Linked DNA regions of Nothobranchius furzeri. The protein of the gene in region 1 purifies or fractionates together with the protein of each later gene. This does not show direct contact. Links are inferred from orthologs where the notes say so. Each region holds a gene or a part of one and is shown in the gene's direction. Other genes may lie near its edges.

Evidence for each region.
Region 2: the proteins of stk40 (region 1) and cop1 purify together in Homo sapiens (affinity purification with mass spectrometry; 3 studies listed by BioGRID and IntAct, counting the BioPlex papers as one, with this or other methods). This does not show direct contact. The link is inferred for Nothobranchius furzeri from reciprocal best matches to the Homo sapiens genes STK40 and COP1.

The regions. Positions count from the first base shown.
Region 1 is NC_091745.1:71,006,338-71,010,093, reverse strand, and holds the start of stk40 (serine/threonine-protein kinase 40), read left to right. Parts: upstream 1-1,093; 5' UTR 1,094-1,170; coding exon 1,171-1,299; intron 1,300-3,393; exon of another isoform or gene 3,394-3,608; intron 3,609-3,756. UniProt on the Homo sapiens protein: May be a negative regulator of NF-kappa-B and p53-mediated gene transcription.
Region 2 is NC_091751.1:60,912,455-60,916,110, forward strand, and holds part of cop1 (E3 ubiquitin-protein ligase COP1), read left to right. Parts: intron 1-1,125; coding exon 1,126-1,194; intron 1,195-1,286; coding exon 1,287-1,346; intron 1,347-3,656. UniProt on the Homo sapiens protein: E3 ubiquitin-protein ligase that mediates ubiquitination and subsequent proteasomal degradation of target proteins.

The DNA.
Region 1 (3,756 bases):
ACATGGCTAGATCAGTTTCGTGCAGCACTTAAAGTTTATTTGACTCATTTTACTTTACATCTTTTAGCTTTCACCGGCACATCAATATCAGGAGTCACATTTTGAGTGGCGGACAACTTCAGGATGTGATTCTAGTTCTTGTGTGAGCCTTGAGCACAGCTTTGTTTTATTTATACTCATTACAGAGAAAACTTGCTCACAAAGATACGTTTATTATCACTCTACATTGTAAAGTATGAAAATAAAGTTTACACAATCATCTCGCGGGCCGGATTTAACCCGCTTGCGGGCCGGATTTAACCCGCTTGCGGGCCGGATCCGGCCCGCGGGCCGCATATTTGACACCCCTGATCTAGAGTCTTCTGGTGCTGATCTGTAACTGGCAACCGTCATGAAACTCTTGAACCGGAGGGGCATGTTTAATACATGGACTACATTACCCAAATGTGACAACAGGATGTAATTTTTACTTCATGCATCTTTAATATTCATGTCCTGACCTAGTGGGTGGGGCAAACCAGTCTTTTCATTAAAGATCTAATTTATCGGTTTTTGTTTGACTTTTATCAGGGCTCCTGTGTCATTGTGAGCCTCAACAGAGCTCCTTGTGCTTTGTAGAGGCTCAAAGACCATTTTCCCAATTATAAATTAACTGTATTCCCCTGAAACTTAATGTTATGCTGTATTAATTTCATTCTAACAGAAGAGGGAGCTGTTGATTTTTTTTTAGGATCATGCCATTTCATAACATGTCTCAACTTTTAGCTCTAATAATGATTTTATTTAAGTTACAACAATTGAGGCTGACTATCTAACCTAGAGTTTATTGCATTGCCAAATTATTGCAGGGCAAAAAATTCAAATAAAAAAACAGAGAGGGGCATTTGTGTGCTTCTTATTTGAATGTTTACCAGCAAAATAAACTCATTAAAAGCAGGTTATCTTTGCTTAGACAGCAAACCTACGATGAAGATCGCCATAGCAACTTAAATCACTTAACAGCCTTTAGTGTTTGCCTGCAGACGAGTCAAAGTGCATCTGCACTCCCCCAGTCACTCACACCGAGTGCATTCCACAGCAGCAAACATGCTGAGACAATTCTCTGAATTGATCCGGGGGAGGAGGATTCTGGCGAGGTTGTCCCAATAATCTCCTAAAAAGAGACACAAGATGCACCAAGGACCTGAGGATACAGCCTACCGACACAGCAAACAGAGACCAAAGCCCTGTCATCCTGCTGGACTTATACAACTCAGTATTACTTACTCGAAAACATTTCAGCTTTTCAAAGGCACAAGAGTAAGTTTGATACTGTTCAGGACACAAACCGCACAAATAATTCTCACACAGGGTTAAAAAAAAAACTTTTTCAGTCAAAAAGTTCTTCACGTGGGAAAAATATTCAGTCTTCCTCTGAATCTATTTCTCTCACAGAACTCAAATTCTAGTTATGATTCAGCTTCCTCTTTGAAGCGTGCGGGCAGGACACTGTAAAGCCGCAGCCTGACTTGTGTTTCATGCGGCTGAGGGAGATTACGCTCTGCTGAGTCAAGACAGGAAGACGAGTGAAACTCTAAATAAGTCTGCCATTTAGGTTGGCCTCTCAGGGTCTGTCACGTCCACCCACTAATTGGAAACTGGCAGCGGTGGGCGGAATTTGAGATTAATCAGTCATTCTACTTTAGGAGTTCAGGTGGGCTAATCAAAATGTCATGCAGTCTCAAATAGGACTGCAGAGTGTTGTGAAACAGCATGACTTTTCTTTCTGCTAAGACCTTTGTGTTCAAGGAAATGGCAGTTAATTGTCATTTCATCATGCATGAAGCAATCTTTAAACAGGTAGTATTGTGAAAATATGGATAGAAGGGATAAATAAGAGCTAGGTTTGGAGATGTAGTTTTAGTGATTCCTAAATGAGGAGCAATGCTGTATATCTCAAATAGAATATCACTTGTGCGTTGCAACGTTCAAGTATTAATTTCTGGATTTTTAGGCTTATTTCGGTATTTAAAGTGGCTGTGTGTAGTTTTTAGCGTTAATTTCTGGAAATTTACATCCGAATGTTGTTGAAAAGGAATAAAATGATGTCCTGTTGTTGAAAAATATTGGCGGCTTAATAACATAACCATAAAAATTGGGTCTAGAGTGCATAGGGTGCAGATCTAGCATCTTAGATGCCATGTTTCCTTCTGGCTGGCTCAGGGTCCTGCCCCCGAAAATTACGTCATGCTAGATGATTGGCTGGATTTTCGTCTTTACTATGTTATCACATTTGAAAAAAATGTAGGCTGTAGGAAACATGAGTTTAATAACAAAACTGCTAAACTCTTTCCAAAACCTATGGGAAAGAACAACATCGAAAAAGAGATGCAATATATTTTGGCCAGTAGTAGTAGGCGGGTGCAGGACCCCGAGCAGATCCAGAAACTACAGCGCCAGAAAACTACAATTGGCATTGCATTCTCTCGATGGAATTTACTGAATCAAAGTCTGAAGAGTCCCGCCAAGGGTTGCAAGGGATGCTTTCTGCTCTACGGGTATACAGCATTTACTGTAGCGTTTTGTTTAAACTAGCGACAGTCATGGCGATATGGTGTAAAACTACCCTGGAATGTATGTACTGCCCCCTAGCGCCAGGAAACTGCATGCCACTTCAAACAGGAAGATGTGCTAAACTTGCCAAATTTTTCATCACTTTAATAATATTTTTGTGAGTTTTTTTGTCACAGATTCCTTATATTATGGAAACCCATTCCCGCCAATCTAATTGAAAAAAAAATCTCATAATTATGACTTAGCTATCTGATAATAATTAGAAAGTGTCTCCTGATAATGAGATGGTGTTGCAGTATAATGAGATATCTGTCATAATTATGAAATACAAATATGTATATTTTTTTATCAGGGTGGCGGTTATGGGCTTCCATACATAATTAGCCCTGAGTGTGGAAATGAAATAAATGACACAGACACTGTAACAAAGTTCATAATGTACTACTTTTCAAGTATTATAAATGTTTGTTTATGTGTCTTGTTTTAAAATGTCCTCATTGAATTTAATTTACCACTAACTTCTTTTAATTTGCAAACATTAGTATTTGCTGTCATTATTACGGACTTGTTTACATTTTAACCCTGGATTTGGGGCCCTTTTATATTAATTTCTTCTCTACCTCCATCACGCAGCTTGCATCATATAAAAAAATAACAATTTTAAGGCATTAAAACTTTACAAGCGAAGCTACCATGATGTCATGGTTTCATTTATCAACTTTTATTATGCAAAGAATTTCATCATCATCCGGGCGGAGCTGTTGGACCGACGAAGAAAGAGAGGCTCCTATTGGACGAGCCTAGCTGTCAATCAAGAAAGGGATTGTGCGTCATTTCCGTTGTCAGGTGGTGCTGTCGCTGTGGAAAGATGCGATCAGCGGAGGCTTTTCCTTAATTGCTCATTTCAGTAACAGAAGCTAAACAAACCAAAAGCAAACCTCTGTGGTCTATCCTGATTAAGCTAATCGCTCCGTACGCCCACCGCCGCGTCCATGCACGAAATGTCTATAATCTGAGGCGACGACGGAGATCGTACCCGGCGGTTTTGGCTCGAGGTAAGCGAGGCTTTTCTCTTGACACAGCGCTAGCCAGCTGTAACGTTCCCCACTTTGTTTAAATGGCCTTCCGGCTGCCTTCCAGCTTCGCGTTAGCTCAAGTCGGTACCTTGTGGTATTTTAACCTGTCGAGAACATTTCAAAGAGA
Region 2 (3,656 bases), on another chromosome or scaffold:
AGAGAAACCTGTTAACAAATTAAAACTAAGCCCTTGCTGAAAATCTGTATCTCAGGGTGAATCAAAAAGTCATGTTTGTTGTTTTAAAAGGTTAAATCTAATCTTTTTCACACAATTCTGATCACGCAGTCGGATCGGAGCGTCCCTACTTGTTAGTTGTTGTTTTTGTTTTTTTTTTTGCATAATTTCCAGAGATTTGATTGGATTTTTCATTATTTTTTTATGTATTTATTGAGCACCTTTATACCACCAGTCAAGTGCTCCACGCTAAAACCAGCAAAATGCATTAGCACAAATTAAGTAAAATAATTACAACAAAAGGAAAAAATTTTACTAAATTATTAAAAGTCAGTAAAAACAAGAAGGGTAAAACGGCACTGAAACAACGGCCTGATTAACCAGAGGAGCTAAAATGCAGAACCAGCTTAGACTTCAAACTCTGTACTGAAGTAGACTGCCTAATGTCGGTGGTTGGTTTCATAGTCTGGGTGCAAACATGGAGAATGCAAACTCCAAAATTAAGTCTCATTCCTTTTTGACAACATATTTCTTACTTTTGCAGCTTGGTTTTATTTCCCGTTGCTTGGATATATGGATCGATATTCCTTCTGTTTGCAGACATTTCTGACCTGACCGAACGTCAACACAAAACCAGTGGCTTATATTTAGATGGTGTCCATTTCTTTTAAAAAGCCGATGAGTGATGGAGCATTCTAGATTTGCTTTTAAAATGTTGAGGTTAAGTCACTTCCCTGCTTACAGTAAGAAGATTGATTTAAAGAAACCTTAGTAGGAATGGATCACCCAAAGAAACGGCTAAATGTCGGCTGAAGTCCAAACTTTGGTTGGTTTCCTTTGGCTCATTCAGAGCAGAATATGACCGCAGTCATTTCTGACACACACAAACTCTCATCTTAAGGATTCTTTGGATATTAAGGTGTCATATGATTTTGAAGAGTAGTTTAAGATTACCGTATGTCAGTATAAATATAGAGTTAGAATTTTTTTGAATTTATTATAAGAAGATTTGTTTGTCCTGAACTCAGTTTCTGACCGTGGTTTTCAGTAAGTTGGTAAATGTTCTATTTCAGTTTGTTTATGCTTGATGTCTTTTATCCACACCAGGAATCCCAAGCAGCTCAGAGGCAAATCTTCATGGATTTTCTGAAGGAAGCCAGGAGAAACAAGAGAGAGGTGCTGCTGTTGCTCTTTTTACTGAGGAGATAAAATCATAAAAATAGGAAAAATATTGAAGCCGTTCTTGTGTTTTTGTTTTTTTATACCAGCAACTAGACCAGCTACAGAAAGAGCTCAACTTCCTTGAAGAAGACATTAAGCGTGTTGAAGTAAGTAAACAGAATTTGAACACAAACTGTGGGTCATTTTGAGAATAAAGGAGAGCCACGATTCGTGTCAGGGCCAGGCTCATTCATCAACCATACTTACTTAGACAGTAGCCACGTTTACATGCGCCAAATTTCCCCAATCCGATTCATATCTTGCTTGATCGGAAATCCCGAATCTCTGTTTACATGCACACTAACTGAAATTATCCGATCATGCCGTGAGTTTATATGCACCAAGTATTCAATCAGATTAAATAAGTTGAGCATGCGCACAGTTGTCTTTCCCGGAAAAAAATTGTAAACAAACGTCATGAAACAAAATGAAAAATGTAAAAACATAAATAACAATTCTTCCTGCTTTTCTGAATCAATTTAATGTTTTTATTTTGTTCTTAGAAGTTACGTTTTCAGTGAGTAACTGCAGATTTATGCTTTGCTGCATTTTATTGTTGACAATATTAAAATAAGGGAGCGTTATCCTTGTTTCTGCCTCTTGATCAGCTGATCCATGGGTGTGACGCGGTGTGGGGGGGGGGGGGTCAGACTCATGTTTTATTACTGAGCTCTCTTGTGGCTTATTATTAATTAAATGTGACAGTCAGCTGAAACTGTTGGGAAAATTTGGTTCAAACTAAATAACAGGAGATGTTCAGAAAGTTTGGAAGCCTGTGTTCATCATGTGTTCATAAACCAACTGCATCTCATCTGCGTTAAAGGGACATTATGGAAGTTTGACAGCCAAAACATGTATAGAAATAATAAATTTCTTCTTCATACGTTCTCCTGCAATGCCCTGGTCCTGTAGAACGAGCCCTGGCATTTTTACTGTGATTGCCTGTTTTTCTGTAAAATCACAGAAAAAGAGAGATGCTCGGGTCGAGCAGGCTGCTTCATGCGCGTTCACGCTCAGGCATCGCCCGTAGCATTTGCTATCAGTAGCTTTAGCAGCAGAGAGAGAGGTAGTGCCAACTCAGCCACTTTGTCGCTGTTTCTAACGCCTCGTGATGAACCTAGCTACATTTCTGAGGACCCTTAGCTACTTTCTGTGGAACTTTCTTCTAGATATTTCCTGCAAATTAGCATCAAAATAGCCATTTTCGCTCCGAACCGTTCTTTGAACGTTGTTTCAGCTGTCATCAAGGATATAAATGTCACAGATACAAATGACGTCACTGGCGCATTAGCTCACCTAGTTAGACGTTGGGCTCTCGTGCAGAAGACCTGGGTTCCATTCCTGATGTGAACATAGTTTATTAAGAGTTTCTTTTTTACATGAATGGTACATTTTTTTACAGTAAGATGCCCACATTTTTATTTGAGATTCGCTGAACGGCATTGAATTCACAGATAAAAAAGATGTGGGTTCAACTTTCATTTTGGAACAATTTTTCAAGCAAGGGAAGGGAATGATCTGAGCATGCAGGAGGACTGACCCATCTTAAACCTTTGTCGTCTGTGCTGAAGAGAAAGGTACAGAACCAAATTATTTAATTAATTAGCTGCGCGTTCTCCTGTCCTCTGTCCTCCGGGCCACACACACACACACACACAAGGGACTCAGCTGTTATTTTCGTTGAGGAGTGTGCACGTACAGCATGTCCGCCTCATGCATGAGCCTACTATTGAAGCTGCCGTTATGCTTTTGGTCAGAGGGGGTAATCGCAAGCATAAAAATTCAGAACTCCATAAAGTCCCTTTAACGTGCTTTTACACAGATAGTCAGCCAGAATATCTAACTGAGGATGTTTTTCTACTCAACATCAGCCTCCTTAAACTCAAACCAGGTCTGTTTAACCGATGTTACCCTGTCTTCATTACGAGCACGTCTCCATCCACCTGCTGCAGAAACGGCTGCTGCGTTCACAGAAACGGATCCGTGCTGCAAATCCCGCAATGAATCTACGTGTTTCCAGCACAGACTTAAACATGGTTGTCAAATGATTTGTGCCATAATCAGATTTTTATTTTACTTCCACAAAATGCAAGTTCTGGATTGCCATCATATTTAAAAGCCGGCATTCGTTAATTAGGCCACCATTTTTTAGGTCAGGCAATCTAAATGATGGCGGGGTGGCTCTCTAGTTGTTTTCTCACATGCACAGTGGGCATTATTTTACTCCAACAATCCGAATGGCTGTGTACGTGCATGTCAATCAGAATGATGATCGGACAAAACCACCCCTCTCAATCGGATTGGAATTTCATTCCGATTGAGAGGCTTACATGCAGAATTTCTTTTATCTGATTGGGCATTCGATCCGATTAATTGTGTCCATGTAAAGGTGGCTAATGTGTAGTTTTTGCCATTAA